Diceros bicornis minor: one gene and its partners. The protein of the gene in region 1 purifies or fractionates together with the protein of each later gene. This does not show direct contact. Links are inferred from orthologs where the notes say so. Each region holds a gene or a part of one and is shown on either strand. Other genes may lie near its edges.

Region 1 (7,471 bases):
CAAGAAAAATCCCAACGGCAAAAGAAAAATGAAGGGATGTTAAAATTTAAGGATGTTGCTATAAAGAAATGATTTAAAAAATATATTTTCAATTATGCTACTAAGGGAATCAAAGACTACAGATTTCGTGGAAACTCTCTCCCCCAATAATACATAATATAATACTTGTTCTGTTTGGAAAATATGACACATTTTTTAAGTTTCTCTGCGACAATTTAATTTGAGCACAAACCAAAAGACTGTAAAAATGTAGTGCCCTTAATATGATGAGCACCAATTGGAAACCTACCTGAAGTTTAACATTTGCCATAAGTAACCGAAAAAGTAGTGTGTGTGTGTGCGCGCGGGCGTGTGCGCACATATATGCACACAAACGCCCCATAACATTTCTGTCAACAATGAACCACATATACGATGGAGGTCCCATAAGATTAGTACCATACAGCCTAGATGTGTAGTAGGCTATACCACCTAGGTTTGTGTAAGTGCAGACTATGACGTTCACACAAAGACTGAATCACCTAATGGTGCATTTCTCAGCACGTGTCCCTATCGTTAAGCAACACGTGACTGTGTTGCTTAACAAACTGAATAAAAAACTGAAGAGTGATTAGTTACAGGTAAATTGAAAAGTTTAAACATGGTGGGGTGGGGAGGGGTGAGACGGGCTGGAAATTCCCAAACTTCCACAAGTAGGAAGGTAAGAACTGTTTTCTTGTTTGTTTTTGACCAAATTAGTGTGACAGCTTACATCCCCTAAACTGGAAAAGAAATTAAAACTTAAGCAGCTACATACAAAAATCATTCTCTGCAACTGTACAACGTTCAAGTTAAAGCCTGCCTTTAAGGCTTCCTTGAAATCTGGAAATCCACAAGCTCTTTTATGGAATGCATTGCTAAAAAGGTGAATTACCAATAAATTTAAATGAAGCATTTAAGTCTGCTGGTTACTATACAGACATGGTCAGATTCATTACGAGAAAAATTACAAAGATCAATAGACTAAATACTAAAGGAACATAATAGTAGGGATGAAAAAGCTGCCAAAAAATATAAACATACAACTAACTGTAGAATAAAGAACCAGAAGGAATCTTAGAAACAATGGGTCACTCACCGGGCTTCATTCAACCCCTCCCAGAGGTCTTCCCTAACCACCTCATCTAAAATATCTGCCCCTATCACCCTCTATTTCTGTACCCTGATTTATTTTTCTCATAGCAGTTGCCACTATGGGTCAGTATATTACATAGGTGCATTCGCTGACTAAAACATAAACTCCATGAGGGCAGAGGCTTTGTCGGCTTTGTTAATCCCAGTGCCTAGAAGCACACAGCTAGCACTCAATAAATGTGCTGAATAAATAAATGATGAAACTGAAGTTAAGAGAGGTTAAAGGACTTCCTCAAGGTCACAGAGCTAGCAGCAAGCACAGCCAGCACCCTGCCTGCTTGCTCTTTCCACAGCCCCTTCCACTACACCAAAGCAGCCTGTTCCAGCACATGATTCTATTTAACAGATTTCTCCTTTCCTTTTTTTTTTTAAAGTGCCCAAGAAAATACATGTTACCAAAAAAAGGGATACATTGGCTAGCATTTTAACTTCAAGTGTTTCACCAACCAAAACTTTACTCAGATTTCATAAGCATACAGGATTAGCCAGTAAAACAGAAAAGCACAGCCACTCATAGTCCTTTAAGTTCCCTGTGAAATTGGCGTCTGCCTTGGAAGTTTTAAGAACAGCCACTGAAACCTACTTACCAATTCAGAACGGCCTGTAAAGTGTCAGCCTCACTTTCATTCTTCTAAGAGCCCACAATAGCTCCTCCCTGGATATACTTTATCTTGCAGATTATGCAAGGAAATGTAACCAACTTTAAAGCCCTGTTTAGTGCCTTTTAAAGTACAAGTCAATCTCACAAAACACAACGTAGAATTAACACTTGAGAAGTTTTAGATTCTGAGAACAGGAAACCATCACCTGACTGTGATCATCTAAGCTCTTCATTCAAAATCCACGAATCTGAAATACCTAAAAGAAACGCGGAGGGGGTGAGGGAGAGGGAAGAGAAGAAATATTTGCATATGTAAAAGGGGAGCTGATAGTCCTAGTAACACTTTCACCCAACATCAGCTTCTTGCCTAAAGTCAAGGCCTCACGAACACAACTTCTGTTGTCTTCTTTGATCACCTTCCTTTCAGACAGAGGAGACAACTGCCAATACCTTTTGCGGGGAACGTCTCTAGACCTAGCATGAGCCTCACTACGGCAGTGTATGATCTGCTCGGCATCTCTCAAAACTACTGTCAGCCCAATTAGTAAACTGACAGGGAAGACCTAAAACGTGCGATGGCAAGAGCTGAAATGAGACTGAGTTAAGAGTGGGAAGGTGTAGACGCAAAGGAGCAGGGAGGATAAACAACGCATCAGGGGCGGGAGTGGGAACCCGGGTCAAGGAAGTGGGGTCAGCGAAAGCCAAAGGTGAAGGGGGGAAGGGGACGAGGTTCTGGTGGGATAGGCGGGAGCAAACCGGGAGAGAACCAGCGAGGGCTGAGGGGGGAGGGGAAGGGTCCGGGGCGGGGCGGAAGGGAGCGAAGAGGCGGGATGAAGAGGGCCTGGCCGGGAGGGTCTTTACCTGCAGCTCCGCCCGCTCCACCTCCCACTGGGCTCTCTCCACCTCGAAGCGGGCCCACTCGTGCTGCAGGAAGTGCAGGATCCCTGGCAGGCTGTACTGGGCTCGGGCCGCCCCCGCCGCAGCCGCCCCGTCGCCCGCAGCGGCAGCCTCCGCCAGAGGCCCGAGACCCTTGGCACCGCCGGCGCCCGGGTGGTTGTTGCTGAAGAAGACGCCGGGACCCGCCTGCTCGTCCATGGCGGCCGCAGAGACCCGGGGAGCTGCCCAGGCAGCCAGCAGCAGAGGCAACGGCGGCGGCCAGCAGCGCCTCCTCCTCCCTCCGCCGCTCCCCGCCCACACCCCAGTCAGCAGGGAGCAGCCTGGGCGCGGGGGCCGGCTGAGCCCGGGACGGGCCGGGAAATGGGTCAACTGCGGCGCGCGAGCGGCCTGGGGCTTGCTGGGAAATGTAGTCCCGGGGCGTGGGGCGGGCGTCCGCGGCGGAGGCGGCCTGTGGGGATGCGTACGGCTCGGGCGCGGCCGCGGCCCCGCCCCGGCCGGCGACGGCGGAGGGCGGCCCCGCGGGCAGCGCGGGTTTCCTCGCGGTCGGGCTAGGCGCGGGGGGGCGGTGCTCCAGTCTCTCTCGCACGCGGAAGTCATCGGGCGGTGCTCCCTGCCGCACACTCACATACGGAAGTTATCACGCCAAAATACCGGCCCGAGCTGCACATCTTTTAGGGTTTCCTGGTAGTTCTGTTAAGAAACAAGCTCAAAGCGAGCTTCTCCGGTCCGGCCCCTGCACTGGGGTCTCCAGCCGATCTCAGCCCTCCCTCTTCGGCTCCGACTTCGGTGTTTCTCTGATCCAAGACATTCCCCAGTTCTGCCAACCCGAGTATCGCTATCGCTCCTGCCTTTCTTTTTCACTCGGGGGTTCAAACCTGTTGCCTGATCAGTTTTCACTGATAAAGAACTCTGATGACCTCTCTCCTAGACTGGCAGCGTTCAGCTTCTTCCAAATTCTGGTTTGTTCACACCTCATCTGAAACAGTGCTCCGCTCAAGTCGCTTTCCCTTTGCAGTTAATCTTGCAGTAAATCCTGTAAATTTTCAGATACCCAAGGCTCTGTTATTTCAGTCTCCTTTTTCCGTGCAGTTTTTACTCAATTCAATTAAACAAATATTTGATTGTCGGTTATATCTGTCGCTGGGGATATAAAGATAAAGGACACAGTTCCTGTCATCAAAGGGAGATTGGCAAGCATATAATCAATTCTCACAGTGCCTTAAAGCTACACTACCTAAAAGAACAAAGTCCCCTTTCTGCTCCCTAGAACTGTCTTAGGTATGCAGGCGCTTCTCATTTTCACTTGTCCCGTTCCCAGTTTCTTCCACGGTTCACCTGCAAACTGGCAACAATATTAGCCTACAAAGGCACACCAAAGTCCTTTCAAGCGTTTCTCGGTAAATGTTATCCGTCTCCGAAATCCCTGAAATTACGTCATTATAACTTCAGACTACCATAATGAAAGGAAGGTGCCTGAAAAAATTTAACAAATGAAAATGATTTTAAGTACTTAATTTATCACCCGAATAAGTTTTTTGTAATTCTTTTGTTTTGTGGGGTATCAGACCTGATGGTTATGAAAAAAATTAAAGATACAGTCTGGTGAGTGATATGTAAAGGAAGGACATCCTGTCCCTGTGCTCTACCCTCCTCTCTTCCCATGGCTACATGTGGAAAAGACAGGAAACACGTTGTACCTGCTCTGGTTGCAAATAAAGATGGCAGGCTCTCTTCTCCCAGTTACTGAATGTTTCTGCTTTATGAGTTCATTCTTTATTATAATAAAAGGTTGATCCAGGCCTGGCCAAATTCCCTGTGTCATAAATTGTTTTGGCTGTAATTGTCCTTTGAGATACTGCCCAATCCTGTCATTCTACAGCTCAAGAAACTAAAGTCCAAAGAAGTTGAAACTTGTCCACAATGAGGCTTTGAGGAGTGGCACAGCCAAGATTAGAAACCAGAATTCCTGACTGCCAGTTCATTGATCTTTCCGTTAACACATTGCCTCCTCTCTTACTTAGACCTATCAAGTAACAAGGGGACAATAATGAACAAGGGCATGTTTTTTCATCTGAGGGATTTAAGTAATCTCACAATGTTGAATGTTAAGAGCTATTTTTTTCTCTAATAGTTAGAAGACAGGTCTGAAAAGGCCTTTAAATCAATTCATAACAGACTATAAAACAAATTTATAGATAACTTGGACTATCCCACATACAACTGTGCTTTAGTGCATAGTTCGACTTTCTTACTCAATATCTTTTTGCTTTTCAAGGACTTGTTTATACACAAAACTATTTATGATCTATAATGTCATGACACCGTCACTCAATATACCAAAATATTAAGAATGATTATATTAAGGTGGAATTCTGAAGAAATTTACTTTTCTCTTTTTCTAAAAATTTCCATATGTGGTACTAATTCTTTTGTAATTTAACAAAAAAACATTACTTTTGAAAGAAGACTTTCCCTTGGAGTTCTTTTGCCCTAAATTTCTTTAAGAGAACGAGGACCATGAATCCCATCATTTCCTCCTATACTGAATCAGCTTCTGAAACTGTTAGTTTTTGAGTAGTGAGCTTACCAGTGATTTTTTTTTCCCCTTTGTGCTTGTCTATATTTTTCATTTTCTGTATTCAGCATGAATTACTTTTTTTTAAGTAAACACTTTATCACATGTAACATATATACAGAAAAGCTCACAAGTGGTAAATGAACAACTCAATGAACTTTCACAAACTGAACCCTTCCACATCACCACCAGCCAGATCATGAAACAGAACATTGCAGGCATCCCAGAAGCCCCCACTTGATGTGCATTCTCAGTCACTACAGCAAAAATGTTTTTGAATTTGAAAAAAAAACAATAACTAGAAAGGATATGGCAATTAGTGAAAGCTAAATTTTATTCCTCACACTACAATTTTTCAAGTCTGGAAATCTTAGACAAATGGTTTAACTTTTTCAGCCACAACTCTCTCATTTTTAACATGAGAATAACATTTACCTTATAAAGTTACTGTGAAGATTAAATGAGAGAAGAAATGTAAATCCCCTAACACAGTGCCTGATATATAGTATAAAGTGAATAATGATAGCTGTTATTGTGCTAGAGTTCACAAGACTAACTGAAATAACACTTGTAAAAATCATGAATACTAGGGGCTCAAAAACTGTTCTTTTTCCTTTCTCATCCCCTATTCAGAACTTTAATCCAGCAGAGTTAAAATAATCTTTAAAAAAAAATTAATGCCTACACCTATTACGTATGCCTCAGCCCTCAAGGTGTTGCTGATTTCCTGATTGTTTCATTTTATAATTAATAAAGCCTGTGACACAAAAAAATAGGGTTTCTTTTCCAAGCACAGAAAGCAGCTGTCGAAATGTTGATTTATATATCAGCATAACCAGTTTAAAGTGAAAAATTGTGAAATGCTAGAAGGTTATTTAGATAATTGAAGTGTTTGCTATTTTTTGGTTTATATGTGTATGCTTTGTGAGGTAGGGATTATAGTTCTACACAGTGACAATTCATCTGCTCTTTTTTTTTCTCATTAAAATGAGTGCTGGGGCCGGCCCGGTGCCGCAAGCGGTTGGGTGCGCGCGCTCCGCTGCGGCGGCCCAGGGTTCGCTGGTTCGGATCCCAGGCGCGCACCGAAGTACTGCTTGGTAAGCCATGCTGTGGCGGCGTCCCATATAAAGTGGAGGAAGATAGGCACCGATGTTAGCCCAGGGCCGTCTTCCTCAGCAAAAAAAGAGGAGGATTGGCGGATGTTAGCTCAGGGCTGATCTCCTCACAAAAAAAAAAAAAAAAAAATGAGTGCTATTGGGGCCAGCCAGGTGGCGCAAGCAGTTAAGTGCGCGTGCTCCACTGCAGCGGCAGGGGGTTTGCCGGTTCGGATCCCGGGTGCGCACCGACGCACTGCTTGGCAAGCCATGCTGTGGCGGCGTCCCATATACAGTGGAGGAAGATGGGCACAGATGTTAGCCCAGGGCCAGTCTTCCTTAGCAACCAAAAAAAAAAAAAAGAGGAGGATTGGCAGATGTTAGCACAGGGCTGATCTCCTCACAAAAAAAAAAAAAAAATGAGTGCTATTTTTTAAAAACTGTTCAAAATGACAAGTTATTTGATAATTTTATTTATTTATTTTTTTCCCCAAAGCCCCAGTAGATAGTTATATGTCATAGCTGCACATCCTTCTAGTTGCTGTATGTGGGACGTGGCCTCAGCATGGCTGGAGAAGCGGTGCGTTGGTGCGTGCCTGGGATCCGAACCTGGGCTGCCAGTAGTGGAGCGCACACACTTAACTGCTAAGCCACAGGGCCGGCCCTTAAATGACAAGTTATTTGGGTCTCTGACTCTTTAACTGCTCAAAGAAAAGCTTCCAAGTTGAACTTGATGGCTCTTTCAGAATTCTGGCCAGAAGAAAAGGAGTGGACTGCTGGACTGGAGAGAGGCCTCTGCTAGGGTGAACAGAACTTTGGGGAAAAGGAATATTCAATAAACCACTATTTATCAACCCCTTCTACCATGTGCCCACTCCCTAATTTCTGTCACCTGTCCCTTCTGCCTACTCTGCTTCTACCTTTCCTCAGCCTCCAAACTTACTCCCTAGTTTTGAAGTCTGGTAATGACTGGGTTGGGGAAACAGCCAATCACAAGTTGGGAAGTGGAGGAATTCTAATATCTAAATTTTTTCTGGGAGTCCAAGAATTAAATCTATATCACAGTCTTGTGATAAGATGGGAAAATAGCCTCTATTATTTATTATTATTATTACTATTATTTTCTTTTGG
Region 2 (7,657 bases), about 31 Mb from region 1:
ACCCATCTCGGCCGAGCAGGAAAAGGGCGGGGATGTCAGCCGTGCGCTGGGTACTGTCCTGGATCATCTCCACATAGAAGCTGTCATTGTCAACCGCGTTGTCAGAGATGATCACTGCCCTCCCGCCGTGCTCCTGCACCACCCGGGTCTTGGAGAGGAAGGAGCAGCCCCTGGAAGAGGTGGTGATGAGACAAAAGGAAAGGCAGGAGTTGCCCCTCCCACAGACCGTCACCCTGGGAGGATGAAAGGACCATGGAAAATTTTTTTATAAAGGCTCGTAAGTAAATGGCCAAAAGGCATGGATAATCTTAAGACATTTCTTTAAGACTCTTAAAAAAATTAGTTATTTAAAAACAGCTCTTTGAAAGCACCACCACCAACATTGGTCTCAGAATCTACCCCGTGCCTGACCTTCCCTTGTGCCAGTGCCTAACCGCTCCTCACCCCCTCTCCACCAGAGCGATCTGGTCCTGGATGAAGAAACCGTTGGTGAGTTCCCCGCAGGCCTCTGAAGGTTCCGCGGGGACGAGGTGAATCTGCTCATACCTCGTGTGCTGAAAGACATTTAGACAGGCCAGAGTGTGAGGAGACACGCCTGCTTTAGGACCCAGCTGACAAAGGGTGAAGGAAACGGGGAGTGGTTTCTGTGCGGTGGGCACTTGAGCATTTTACTTAATTCTCACAAAAGCTTAACTAGTTGTCCTCCTCAACCCTGCCTTTCCGTGAAATAGGGGAGTTGATATGGACCCAGAGAGGGGAAGTAACTTGCCTTAAGTGACACAGTGCAGAGATAGAGCTAGCAGAGCCCTTGGTTTTTCACCATTTCATGTCACCAAAGAAGACAGCTTGTCCCTCCATCGTGCGCAGGTTTGTATTATACCCAGAGGAGTAGCTGGAAGACCTTCCTTCCTGCACGGCAGCCCCTGGAGGGCAGAGCTGGATTCTGCTCCCTTCCCTGTCCCAGCACTCAGGTATTGGTTGAAGGGATAAGAGGGTCACCTCAGCTTAGTAGGGGGAAGGTGGAGACAGGATCAGAGACCTGGGGGCCTCCTGAACTTACAAAGATACCACCAAAGTCCTTGGCAGGTGTGGCTGTGAAGATGTAGCGAATGTCCCCAGGACTCAGCACTTGGAAGTACAAATAATCATGGATGCGTAAGCCTGAAAGATAAAGAGTACAGATGAGAAACCTCCAGGGAATGAGCTGGTTCGGGTTCAGATCATGGACCTGTGTCTTCAAATGGGCTGGCTATAGTCTGGGCCCAGGGACCCAGCTTCAGCCAAGTGGGTCCTCCAGGTGGTAGAGCAGATGGGGAGAATAGAGTTGCCCTGGGGAGAATAGAGTTGAGCAGACAGAATTAGTAATCCCAGAGATGTAGCTGCTGTTGCTGCTACACAGGTGAGCCAGGAAGACTGAGAGCTCTAGTGTTCTCTCTCTGAGGGTTAATCTGTCTTTGCTCTGAAGTGGACCCGAGAGTTTCAAGGTGGAGCTGTGGTACCAAACAGTCCTCACTAAAACTTAAAAGTTGACTGTCTGGTGCCGGCCTGGTGGCGCAAGTGGTTAAGTGCGCGCGCTCTGCTGCGGCGGCCTGGGGTTCGCCGATTCAGATCCCGGGTGCGCACTGACGCACCGCTTGGCAAGCCATGCTGTGGCAGCGTCCCATATAAAGTGGAGGAAGATGGGCATGGATGTTAGCCCAGGGCCAGTCTTCCTCAGCAAACAAAGAGGAGGATTGGCAGATGTTAGCACAGGGCTGATCTTCCTCACACACACACAAAAAAGTTGACTGTCTGGTTCCACTGCCACTCCCCTAGTTCAGCCACTATCGTTTCTTGTCCTGACTATTCCAGCTTCTTAACTGGTGTGTCTTCCTCCATTCTTGCTCTCTAAGGTCCATTCCCCAAACAACAGCCAGGGACCTTCTTAAAACGTCCTAAAGCAAATATGACCATGTCACCACTCATGGCTTTAATACCCTTCAACAACTTCCCTTTGCACTTAAAATCTAAACTCTTAGCTAAGGCCTGCGAGACCCTGCTCCATCTGGCCCTTGGCTACTCCTCCAACCTTATCTCTTCCTTCCTATGTTGAAGCTACGCTGGCTTCCTTCCAGTTTCTTCACTTCTCTGAGTCGTCTTGCAAGCTGCTCCCTCTATCTGGGAGGCTTCCTACCCTCACCCTACCCCACCTCTACCTCTTTGCCTGGCTCACTCCTACTCATCCATTAGGTCATAGCTTAAATGTCACTTGCTCAGAGAAACCTTCTGCTTATGACTGCCCTCCCCTTATGCCCATTCAAAATGTACTTTTTCTCCATTGAGATTTTCAACATATTTTATAATTATACAGTATTCATGATTTTTTGTTTAATGCCTGTCTCCTCCACTAGGGCAAGGACCATAAGTTTGTAGCTTCATTCAATGCTGTATCTGCGTTACCTAACACAGTGGCTAGGATGTAGTGAGTGCTCAATAAAGACTGTTGAATGAGTGAACAACAACTATTTTCAGCTCCATTGCCCTGAGGAAGAGAACTGCCAGCATGACCAAATTTTTCTGGGGTGGGGGAACATCTCTTCAGCACCAAACTTTAATGTTTTACCTGGACTTGAGTCCCTGGTTTTCTTAGCCCAGAGAGACTGAGGAATGTGGAAGGGTAGAAGCTGCTGCCACAGGTCCATTAGTCTATCAACAAACCACCAAGCCACTACTATGTGCCAGCGTTAGGACTGATTGTGCCTTTAGCTGTCATTGTCTACTGCCCAAATCACAGCCGCCAGGTAGAGCTCCATCCATTGGCTTGGCACTGGGCTATACAGCCTTTTATCCTGGGAGTGGTGACTTCCCATCAGACACAGATACACTCCCAGGAAGCCTTCCTGGACTAGCACAAACTCCTCCTCCTCCCCACACACATCTTTGCATCTGCTGATCTGTGTAAATTAAATGTGGGTATACGTATGTGCTCATGTATGTGTGTGGGTGTGTATGTGTGCTCATGTAGGTGCAAACAGGTTGTGTGTGTACCTGCGTACTTGTGCGTGTGAGCCCACGTGTAGGAATGTGTGCTCCTGTATATTGAGTGCTCACATACATATCTCTAGCCGTCCCTTATTCCTCCTCCTGGTCGCCCCCTCAGCCACCTGGGTCAGCGCTAGTGGGGTCTGGGGGCAGTCTTGCTTCGGCGTGAGGAGCTGAGGACTAAGAGCCTAGCCTCAGGCCGTGCTCAGCTCATGTCCCTGGGGACCAGCACCCACCCACTCCAGTCTCCCGTCCCCCGACCTGCCCTGCCCTGAATTCGCGGGGTCCCCAAGGTGACCCGTGGCCCCCGGCCCGAGACGCGTGCCAGCTGGACGGCCAGCCCCGCCCAGCAGCGCAGCCCCGCCGTTGCCACTCACCGTGGGCCGCGACGCACGCGGGGAGCCAGAGCACGAGACAACACCAGCCCGCGGCGCCGGGGACCATCTCCAGGGCCCGGCCCGGCACCGCGCTTCCTCCCCCTGCCCCGCCGCGCGTCGCTCGCCGGACTTCAGCCTGACAGCTGCTCCGGCCTCCCGCCCCCAGACCCGCTCTCGCCGCTGGTTGGTGGACGGGAACGAGGACCACGGCTGATTGGCTCTGACGCCTGCTTATATAACCGCACTTTCCGCCTCTGCGCCTTAGCCCACTTCCTACTGGTCGAGAGAAGTGGGGCCGAGGGGTGATTGGTCTAAACTCTTAACAGCAACTGCCGGCCCCCACCCCAACCCCGCCCCAGCATTTCTCAGTGTAGGTTCGACTCTCCAGGACCTAGCTGGCTGGTGGGCGGGCCGGGGAGGACAGGGAAATGGAGGTGGGGACCCTGCAGGACTCGCTTCAGCCGCCGAAAATCCTGGTCGTCAGCTTTTGCGGTCTCGGCCGGATCCTCCCCGCGGCCGCCTCGCACGACAGCGATTTGCCTTCTCCCAACTGTGCCTCCCTCTTCTCCACCCCCTCCTTGGGAAGACATTCGTCTAGCGACCCGGTGGTCACCCGCGACCCGCGCTCTGCTCGGCCTCTGCCCATATCCGACAGCGCTTGCGCGCTCACTGTCGGTAGGCGCTGGGGACGTGGCCTGATGCACCCCACCCTGGAGGAGGCTCTAGCCAGTGCAGAGCCAGAAAGCGGGCTTTGGGGCCAGGTGCCCACGCCTGCCTTTCTATCAGTTACTGTGTAACTATGACTTTGAACACCTTTCCTAACCTCTCAGCCCCAGCTCCCTCACCTGTAATATGGGCATGATAATAGTACCAAGGCGATAGGGTTGCAAGGATTAAGTGAGACCTCTTACGAAGTGCTTACTTAACATGAGCCTGTCCCACAGTCAGCGTTTAATAAATGTTTGCGTTTATTGCATGCCTTGGTCTGCCGTCCAGGGGGAAAGGGGGAATGCAATTAGGGTTAGTGGGGGTCACGCGGGCTGAGCAAGGATACTACACGCTCAAAGAAAAGGCACGACCGAAATCCGGTGACCTTTCGCTAACCAAAGCTTCTCGCTACAGCACCCTCGGAGGCCCAGCCTCGGGCCCTTCTAGCAACATCGACTCTGTGGTAATGAACCATAGGGTGGCGGAAGTGGCCCGTCCCCTTCCTCTCCCGGTCCAACCGCTCGGTGAAGCTTCTGGGGACTTCTCTGGCGCGGTGCATTGTGGGGTTGTTGGGCGGCCTGGATAAGGAGACGAGAGGAAGAGTAGCGGGCCATTGAATAAGCTTCCAAAATGATGGTGAGTGGCGTCTCGCGCATCCGTCGCCATCCGCTGCCATCTGGCCCATGGCTGGCGCCGCTCGGCCGGGGTCGGTCCTCTAAGGCCCTCCCCTGCCTACTGACTCTGTCCTCGCCCCGGCCCCCTGTCTGTGGGCGACCCCGGCCCGCCGCGGCCTGGCTTGGCCCGGGCGCGAAGCAAGGGCCCTGGGCGAGGGCTGTGTGGGGCTCGAGGGGAGGCTCTGGGCGGGTTGGCTGGGGACTACAAGTCCCAGGGTGCTTCGGGGCCGCGAACCCGCGTCGGAGACCCGGTTTTTGGAGCCCCTCACAATCTTGAGTTGTGTTAAACGAGTGCGGATTTGGCGCGCATACGCGGTCGGCGAGCAGACGTGGAAGCCCTGGCTTCCCTGGGAAATGCGGGTTGTAAAGACATGTGCCTCCTAGAACGGGCAGAAGCAGCATGGGACCTTGGGTTGGGCTGAGCCCCAGGTCTCAACTATGGTCGCTCGCTACGCCCCAGCTCGGCCGCTGCTGATAAACGGAAACAGACTCCTCCGCTCTCACTTTAATTCGTTCATCCACTCGTTCATTCGTTAAGTAAATGCGTATTTAGTGCCTACCGAATGAACCATGCCCAGCTGGTTGTTGGGGGTGCAACAACTCAGCCAGGAGAATGGGCAGGGCAGATGGGGACACTGCATCAGAGGGGGGAAGACGGCTCTGACTCCGACCCTGTCTGCCCCTTCGGATGTGACGTTAGACCAGGCTTTTCCAGTTGGCCAGCTCACCCTGGGTCTCGTTTTCTTAGATTAGGGAGGTTAGTGAATCCTAACCTAGGAGGCTCCCTGTAGCGCCCTTCGGCAGCATTCCTTCTCTGCATCTCAGAGCTGCAGGTACTTTACATGAGACCCAAGCCTCGGTGGTAACTCCTGAGTTGCTGTTGAACAGGGCCAGCTTTTAAGGAAGTGTTTGAGGCAAAACCCGACTAAGTATTGCTCCCTGTGCACTTGGCAGTTCACTCTTTCGCTTTGGCCTATCAGTCCCACTCAGTTCTCTGTTCTTTTCCTGCTTCCTGCCTCTTCTCTCTGTCCTGGTAGATGTCAAGCTGACACCTGTGAGGTGTTCATTTCTGCTACCAAATGCCCTGTGACTCCAGCTTGTACCCAAGAGAGAAGGAACCTGGCATTTATCTGTACCCCCCTCCTCTTCATACCCCAGTACTGCCCTTTTTCAGTCCTCTTCAACATCATCTATTCCTGAAGTCCTCTTCATTTTCTGTGCGGAGGCAGCATAGTAGAGGAGTAGAGAGTAAGGGCTCTGGAGCCACACCAAATGCCTAGGTTTGTAATTCAGTACTGCCACTTACTAAGTGTTTGACTTTGAGTATGTCATTACATTTCTGGCCCTTAGTCTGTTAGAGGGGATTAAATGAATTAATACGTATTAAGTGTGCCTAGCCTGTAGTGAGCACTCAGCAAATGTTAGCTGTGCTGCTGGGCAGTTGCTTGCTTCCTTTCTTCCCTGTAATCCATCCTGCTGCCAAGGCTACCATAAGAGTTTTGGTTGGCATTCAAAGAATGGGGGTCAGAAGCAAGGTTCTTCTGTCCAATGATGAAACCGTTCCCCAAGAGGCTCCAGACCACCACGCTTGGGTTTTTCCGGGACTGACCCCTGCTCTGTTTCCCTGCTGTATTGGCTGTTTATATCTCTTCTTTTGGAATGTGAAACTTCTGCCACCAGAATCCTCCTTGCTGTCATCAAATTGGTCCTTGATATTCTAGAAGCCTTCTGTGATTGAAAGAGAGGTAAAAGGTCCCCCAAAACCTCAGTCCTGTGACTTTGGTACAGCTTGTGCCACAGAACGTCCTTGCCTTTGTGGTGTTGAGCGCTGTATGCCTTGGCATATCAACACGTTGTTGTTTTATAGAACATCAAGCTTAATAAGGCTCAATAAAAGTTTTTAAGGAGGATGAAGAGGAAGATCATTAAGCTAAAATTCCCAAGTCTTCCATGATATCCTTTGCAGGGTACTGGAATCTGCTATTGTTTGTTTACATGAATACGAATGAGTGAGGTTGAAAAGTAACTTAGGGACAGAAGCTGGGCTTTCCATAGTGGTGCCTGCCCCTGGGGAATGGATAGAAGAAAACCTATCCTGCTTGACCTGACTTAGCTCAATCCAGCTCTGCCACCTTTTCCTCTCTTCCCCGCTTCCACATAGCGTCTCTCTACCCGGCCTGCCATTTCTTTTTTTTTTTTTTTTTTTTTTTTTAATTTTTTGTTTATTGCAGTAACATTGGTTTATAACATTGTAAAAGTTTCAAGTGTACATCATTGTACTTCTATTTCTGCATAGATTACATCATGTTCACCACCAAAATACTAATTACAACCCATCACCACACACATGTACCGAATTATCCCTTTCACCCTCCTCCCTCCCCCCTTCCCCTTTGGTAATCACCAATCCAATCTCTGTCCCTATGTGTTTGTTTATTGTTGTTATTATCTACTACTTAATGAAGGAAATCATACGGTATTTGACCTTCTCCCTCTGACTTATTTCACTTTGCATTATACCCTCAATGTCCATCCATGTTGTCACAAATGGCTGGATTTCATCGTTTCTTATGGCTGAGTAGTATTCCATTGTGTATATATACCACATCTTCTTTATCCATTCGTCCCTTGATGGGCACTTAGGTTCAAAATCACTAACTATCAGGGAAATGCAAATCAAAACTACAATGAGATATCACCTCACGCCCGTCAGAATGGCTATAATTAACAAGACAGGAAACAACATGTGTTGGAGAGGATGTGGAGAGAAGGGAACTCTCATACACTGCTGGTGAGAGTGCAAACTGGTGCAGCCACTATGGAAAACAGTATGGAGATTCCTCAAAAAATCAAGGATAGAACTACCATATGATCCAG
Region 3 (7,559 bases), on another chromosome or scaffold:
ATCAATTTTTCATCATTTTTCCTCTAGGCATATTTACAAACATCCTAGAAGGTCTCAGAAAGAATTAGTCATTAATTTTGTTCACTAGAAGTTCAGGTAAAATTGTATTACAATGAATACTATTCCACTGAAAAATTGTTAGACCATGAAAAGATTTCCAAGTTTTAGATAACCAAATTCCAAAACTGTATATAAAACATTCTGGCATCCCTCTGAAATTGGCTGAAATAAAATTTGAGCAAAGATAATGTTTGGTAGGAGTATAGGTGAAATTCTTCTTTTAAATTGTCTACTTTCACAGAGAACATCTATCACAATATTTATATTCCATATAGTAAAATAAGACTTAAATGCAAATATATACAAATACACTTTTAAATGACTGCTTAAAATATATTGTTTAAACAGCTTATTTGGCCAGGCTACTACAGACTGAATTTATTTGACTTAACAAGTTCACATCTCTATGAAGTCTTGCATCTTTTGAAATATGTTAAATGGCAAATTGCATGGCACAAGTTCAGTCCTTTCCACAAGATTAATGTCTCAGCAACTATACATAAAAGTTAGACTGCTACACAATCTTTAAGAGTCTCCTGACCACTGTGTATAGTAAGATACATTTTATAACTTCCAAAGTAGAGCAAATACTATTTTCCCTCTCCCACTTTTTACTTCCAAATTGTCACTTTTAGTTTTCTTTTTTTTTTGTGAGGAAGATCAGCCCTGAGCTAACATCTGATGCCAATCCTCCTCTTTTTTCTGGGGAAGACTGGCCCTGAGCTAATATCCGTGCCCATCTTCCTCTACTTTATATAGGACGCCTCCACAGCATGGCTTGACAAGCAGCGCGTCAGTGCGCACCTGGGATCCGAACCGGTGAATCCCGGGCTGCCGCAGCGGAGCGCGCGTACTTAACGGCTTGCACCACCGGGCCGGCCCCAGCCACTTTCATAGTTTTCTTTAAGGTGAATCACAACATAACTAGTTCACACACCCTCCAGTAATTCCTGACTCCTAGAAGCACATTAAATTTTAGGAGGCACACAAAAGAGTCATTGACTCCTTCCAGAGCTACTGCCTTTAAATGAAGGAGAGGACGTTAGACTGTGTTCCAGGACATGCTGTACCAATCTTTTGCCCCATGGTAAAATATGTTCAATGTAACTTCACCTCTAACTGCTAACTTTCTACCTAGTAAGTTTTAGCAACTAATAAGTGATTCTCACTTCAGTATCAGAGAGACATTTCACAACAGTTATTTTAAAAATAAGAACTAAAAAAACAACAAACCCAGAAAAGCTATACTTAATATAAGATGGTATGCTGGAGAGAGCACGTGGCTTTGCAGTCAGATAGATGCCAGGTCTGCATCTTCCTAGTTGTGTGACTTTGGACAAGTTTTCTTATCTGTGAAAGGGGGATGACGACATCTAACTCATTAGGTTGCTGTGAAGACTGAGTTAATAAGTGGAAAACATCTTGCCAAGTTCCTGATATAAGCTGAACAATGGTTTAATCATTAATAACTACTATCTTCTCTTCTTCCAAAAGAATTCTAAGAAAGGCATTCCCAAATCTGGGGGCAGCCAAGATCAATGACCTCAGAAATAGCTTCAGCTGCCCTTTTGTAGTTGGGAACCACAAATGAAGAAGGGTGATAGCATCCTGGAGTGAAGAACGGTGAAGGATTTAAACTACCAGTTGAGTCACACTGGTTTCTTAGATGAAACCCTTCTCCCTCTTCCTGATGGTTTCATGTTTTAATCTCTCTCTGAGAGATTATAAGGCAGAGGAAAAATCCTATCATTTTATGCCCTTCCTCTCTCCTCCTATGATGTTAACGGAAATAATGGGGACTTGGTAAGGAGGCTCCATAAATACCCACTGCACTGAGTAAATCAACTGGATGGACAAGCACCAAGGTAGGAAGGTAGGAATAGAACTAAAAATGATAGTGTTCACACATATTACTCTTTTTTCCTTCAATATCTTCATAGTCCTTAAATATTCTTATTTAGAGATCCAAAGCTGTGGCTTAAAGAAGCAGTATGATATGAGGAAAACTGGGAGTGAGGAGTGCAGAATTTTAATCTCAGCTCTGCCACTAAACAGCTATATGGCCTTGAAGAAAAAAATTACCCAGTTACTCTGGCACTGAGTTTCCTCACAGGTAAAATAAGACAGACTAGATAATCTCTAAGGTCCTTCTTGGTTCCATTCTAAGCTTTCATGGGTAAAAATCAAGAATTATGGTAAAAATCAAGAATTATTTGTTAGAGAATCCTGTTAAATAAGAGTAAGAGGTAAATACACAAAGAACTAAAACAGACTGTACCTAAATCAGTCTTTGATCTGTTGTGATAAATATACATCCTCATAAAAATTGAAGTAAAATTGAAACAATCTGCATAGTTACTTTAATTATAAAGCAGTCCAGCCTAGGCAGGAAAAATTCTATTCTTTGTCAATGGCATAAACAACAATATTCTTGTTATCTTTACATTTGTAAATCACTTCTGTACACCAATTTTAATACCTGGAACATTCTGCTAATATGTACCAACTCATTTAGCTTACTGTCTACATGAAGTGAATACAATACAAATATGACACAGGAGGAAATAAAGGGCCACAGCTGTATAATTAAAAAACCAACAGGTCTGTTTTCCCATATTCCCATAACTTTTCTTTATAAATATTAAAATTTAGCAGTTTTTTACATTTGTATCTAATCTCAATACACAAAACATTGCAATAAATTTTTGTCAGAAATATAAATGAAAGATAGTAAAACTGCATTATGTTTTAAGATGGCAGTGATATTCCTGGGGTGGGGGTGGGGGTGGGGATGGGGGTGATACTGACCTGATTATTGGCAGTCACACTTCAGTCCTCAAGTATAAATTCTTAAGGTTTTCTTCAGTTACAATTTGAGAAAATTGACGAATATATTTAAAATGCCGTCAGCATGGTGGAAAAGTGTCCAATGCTGCAAAATAATAAGAAATTTATTGTCTGTGTGACCACACTACAAACAATTTTGTAAATCCCACGAATGTCAACCGTCATTACAGGTGATGAGGCCTGACAGCTGTAGGTTGATACAGACAAGAAAGAAGAAAATAGCCACTTCTTCAAATTGAGGCTAAGCAATACAGGAAAAACACCAGGAATCTGACTTCCCTTTTGCAATTATAATTAGGAAAAGTGAGAACTTTCAAAATCTTTTTTACTTTAAGATGTCCACTGTCATTTCAAGGACTAACTTATGAATGTCACTAGAAGAGACTGACTTTCTCTCCCCGTATTGACAAAAGCCTATTTGCTTGAATCACCATGACGTATGCACAAGGCACTCAGATAGAAAAATAACATAATTACAACTGAACTTTTTAAACTGCCAAATTCGCGTAAGGAGAATTCTCATCTGCTCACCTCCTGCCAATCAATAAACAAAAAGACAACCTGTCACCATCTCAACTTTGTCTGTAAGGGTGATCATTCATCCCAGCTTCTACTTTTTCCCATTTATTTTAAAATATTAAATGTTGAATTATATACAAATTTTTTTATGTTTTCATAAGAGTGTATTAGACCCAGCAAACTTTTAAAAAAATTATAGGCTTTAAATTTTATTTGATAAAACATAATTTTTGTCTCGTATTTTAAGGCACCAAGTCTATTGGACTCTACTTTCTGCCCAACATATAAATCATGTGGCCCAATATTTTCAGAAAAAGGCTGTATCTAACTCCATATTCATTATCAGAAATATGACTGCTAGATTTTTGGCATGCCAGGTTGTAGTCTACAGAGTCATTCTCTACTTATTTTGTAAATGAGCTGTTACTTGTCATTGTCATCATCTAGTAAGTAACTTTGAAAGACAAGATCATTTCAACCAGATGCTCAGCTCATTCCTTCCATTAGAATCTCTCTAAGACCCAACTTTCCTTAGAGTTTAGAGGCAGATGTTTCTGTCTAAGGAATGCTACAGTCTATAAATTTGAAATGAAAACCATTTGTGGACAAGTTGTCTGGATACATTATCATACCCTGTGGTACAGCCAGCTGTAGCTATATTAAGCTTTATAGTTTTCTCAATTAAAAAATACATATAATAAAAAAGATAAAGTTATAGATATTTTAATACCCTGGAAAAATAAGGCTATTTATGGGCTAAGTAGGAAACTTGTTTTTAAGTCATCAGTAACTGATTTCAAACATGAGTTTGCCCAGCATACCATTTGGTCTATTCACAATCTACTTCCCACCAAGTCAGGGCCAATAGCCAGGAGGGCAGAAGTCTCTTCTATATGAACTTTCACGTGCCAACGGTCACAAGAGTTATGGCTATTAAGAAGGGCACCCTCCTTCCCACCCTCCCAGCCTCCTAAAGGGCAGTGCTGATTTTGCCATGGAAGTATGCTGCTGTGGCCTGGGCTCTGTTCATTTTATTCTGACCTTTTCCCTTCTCTGGATAATACCTAAGCTCCACTCATTCTGGTTGTGGTTGTGCTTTTTCCTTCTTGAGGAAGTCCCAGCTTTTGCTTTAGAACTCTGAATTAATTCTATAGGATAGCAGGCATTGTTGTTGTTTTTTAACACATAGAGATTGGGTGGCAGAAAAAGAAACACCCCAAACAGCTTCTATAGCTATGTAAGCAGTAGGGCAGGGCAGGGTGGAGTATAAGTAAGATGTTTGTCTATCTAGTATCTGGGTGTGCGTATGTCTTTATGTGGAACTGAAGGCTTTATTTCTAAGTGGTGGGTGATATGGGGCATGGAAGAGGGAAAACAACATTTCTAGATGAGTCTTGGATATTTCTGGACATAGAAACACCTCAAAAAAACTACATTTTTTTTTTAAATCAACTTGGCTAGAATAAAAAACAAATCAGTTGTTTTACCCAGGAGATCACTCTTGCAAAACTGGATAAAAATCACTTCTTTATTACATACTCAGACATCAAATTTAAGAAATTTATACTTGGGCTACAATTGACTGAGATTCAGGCCATTCAGTAAGTTTTTAGTATTAGTGATAAGATATGGCAAAGATATAAAGCAAGTCTGCTCCAATTATGTAGACTCTTTCACATACATATAAACAAAACCAAAATACAGGAGGCCAATTAATTCTCAAAATTCAGAGTCAACACTGACATACAAAATGGGTGTTTTTTGACAGCTTTCCACTAGATAACGTACTTCCTTAAAAACTTAGTATATATGAAATTAAAAAAAAAATAAACATGTCACATTTATAAATACTAAATCTAAATATGGACAAAAATGCACTGCTATTTTTAAAAATGTATCCAAAGCAACCTCCTATTTAGGGGTGGAAGGTGTTGACACATTACCTTGACTATCTCAAAAGATGTAAGTTTCCCCACCCTCTGGCACTTCTGGTTTTTCAGAAGGGTTATTTATGCATTTGGGGGTAAGAGAGTGACAACATTCCAAACTATACCTCTCATTCCACTTGTGGCATTTTAGGATTAGGCTAGGGAAGAAAAATACGTCAAAAAACTAACAGAAAATAATTTTCTGATCAAGAAAGCAGATCTTCTGTACATTTACTAAAGCGAGGTGTTTTTGCTATTATTATTTACAAAGTTTCTAAAACCAAGGTGTAAAATCTCCTTTTACTGAATTCTACAATACTAAGCAATGTAAGCTTTACTACAAATGTCAAATCGATCTTCTTTCAGTTGAAGTTAACAGGTATTACGGGACTATTTGGACTTTTATGTGTCTATGTATTATAATGTGTTATGGGCTGATTTATGTCCCCCCCGCATTTCATATGTTGAAGTCCTAATCCCCAGGACCTCAGAATGTGACTGCATTTGGAGATGAGGTCTTTAAAGAGGTAATTAAGTTAAAATGAGGTCATTAGGGTGGGATCTAATCTAATATAACTGGTATCCTTACAAGAAGAGGAAATCTGGACACAAACACGGGACAGGGAAAGACCATGTGAAGACAGACGGAGAAGACAGCCATCTACAAGCCCAAGAGAGGCCTCAGAGGAAACCAGTTCTGCTGACAGGTTGATTTTGGACTTCCAGCCTCCAGGACTGTGAGAAAATAAATTTCTGTCGTTTAAGCCACCCGGTCTGTGGTACTTTGTTATGGCAGTCCTAGCAAACTAATACGACATGCTAATCATTTACTACTTTTAAAGACCATCAGAGCAACTAGATCTAGCCTTCCCCTTACCACAAGACTGCTATAACACATTTTTCAGAATGCCTTGCTTTGTCTTATCAGTCTGCTTTTTCCAGCCATACTATACGTAGCATTATATAAAACAGAATGGTTTTGAAACACTTTTAGAGATTATCAATTTCAGGATCCTGAAATATAATATGAATAGTACACTTACAAAGAAATTACAACAGTGCTAAGGGATCGAGATGCTTGTTTATCCAGTACTGTCAATATAGACTTTGAAGTAAGCCTTAAGAAACCAGTTCTGTAATAAAGCTAATACTCTTTAAGGTCAACATTGAAAATACTTTCAGTACTCTATTCAAATACACAGTGCTCTACTCAAAGCAGATTCTAGGATAACAGATTTTCTGGATTTATGCTTAGTACAGAAATTAATGATGATATAATTGAGCTTATCAACCTTAATTACCACTACCTCAGAGTTTTATAACATAGTTTTCTAAGAATTCAAGCAATAATAGTAATAATAAAAAGATAAACATTTATTGAGCTAAACATTAATATGTTCCAGGTAGTGTTCTAAGTACTTGACATGCATTAATTCAGTCCTCACAACAACCTTAGGTGATGGGGATTGATGTATAATCAGCACCAATGAATTCATCGTCATCATCCCCATTTTACAGATGGGAAAACAGGCACAGAGGCTAAATAACTTGCTCAAGGTCTCACATCTAGTATATGGCAGAAATGGGATTTGAACCTTGGTAATTTGATTACAGAGGCTTCCTTAGTAACCACTGCTTGGTAACCACTGTTTACATCTGATCTTCTCATTTTATCAGCCTTAGGAATTGTGTAGTGGAAAAACCTCCGCTAAAATGTGATTCATAAAGCTGGAAGGGACCTCAGAAATAATCTGATTCAGCACTCTCATTTTATAGATGAAAATTGAGGCCACAGTTGTTAAGTGAATTACTGAAGATTATAGTTAAATAGTAAAACTAGGTCTCACACTCATGTCTTTTTAAGATCCAGTCTAATCCACTTTCTGGGACACCATGATGGGTATCAGCTTTTTGTTTTGTTTAGCTCTGTTTTAAGACTCAGGCATCTCTGGCGTATCTCAGTGGGTGTGTGTGAATGTCTGTCTCTTTCTCTCTCTCTGTGTGTACATCTGTTTCTCTCATTGTTTCTCCTATATGTTGCCAACAAGATTTATATCTATATTGAAGAAAAGGAGGAAGTGGCCTCATGCCCACAAACATTCAAACACCTTTCCCCCAAAATGAGGACATTTAGCACAACGTTATTAAAAACAGGTCTGTCTACCTGTGTATCTGTTTACACTCTTTCAAGTATTCTCATCTGAG

What was found. The genes of interacting proteins can lie anywhere in the genome.
Region 2: the proteins of STRN (region 1) and CCT7 purify together in Homo sapiens (affinity purification with mass spectrometry; 3 studies listed by BioGRID and IntAct, with this or other methods). This does not show direct contact. The link is inferred for Diceros bicornis minor from reciprocal best matches to the Homo sapiens genes STRN and CCT7.
Region 3: the proteins of STRN (region 1) and CTTNBP2NL purify together in Homo sapiens (affinity purification with mass spectrometry; 5 studies listed by BioGRID and IntAct, with this or other methods). This does not show direct contact. The link is inferred for Diceros bicornis minor from reciprocal best matches to the Homo sapiens genes STRN and CTTNBP2NL.

The regions. Positions count from the first base shown.
Region 1 is NC_080751.1:47,156,571-47,164,041, reverse strand, and holds the start of STRN (striatin), read right to left. Parts: upstream 3,009-7,471; 5' UTR 2,870-3,008; coding exon 2,636-2,869; intron 2,495-2,635; exon of another isoform or gene 1,761-2,494; intron 1-1,760. UniProt on the Homo sapiens protein: Calmodulin-binding scaffolding protein which is the center of the striatin-interacting phosphatase and kinase (STRIPAK) complexes.
Region 2 is NC_080751.1:15,657,383-15,665,039, reverse strand, and holds the start of CCT7 (T-complex protein 1 subunit eta), read left to right. Parts: upstream 1-4,654; 5' UTR 4,655-4,736; coding exon 4,737-4,742; intron 4,743-7,657. Other genes in the region: PRADC1 (protease-associated domain-containing protein 1), read right to left, coding at 3-170, 445-554, 1,061-1,161, 3,399-3,465. UniProt on the Homo sapiens protein: Component of the chaperonin-containing T-complex (TRiC), a molecular chaperone complex that assists the folding of actin, tubulin and other proteins upon ATP hydrolysis.
Region 3 is NC_080743.1:45,209,471-45,217,029, reverse strand, and holds the start of CTTNBP2NL (CTTNBP2 N-terminal-like protein), read right to left. Parts: upstream 3,004-7,559; 5' UTR 2,869-3,003; intron 1-2,868. UniProt on the Homo sapiens protein: Regulates lamellipodial actin dynamics in a CTTN-dependent manner. Associates with core striatin-interacting phosphatase and kinase (STRIPAK) complex to form CTTNBP2NL-STRIPAK complexes.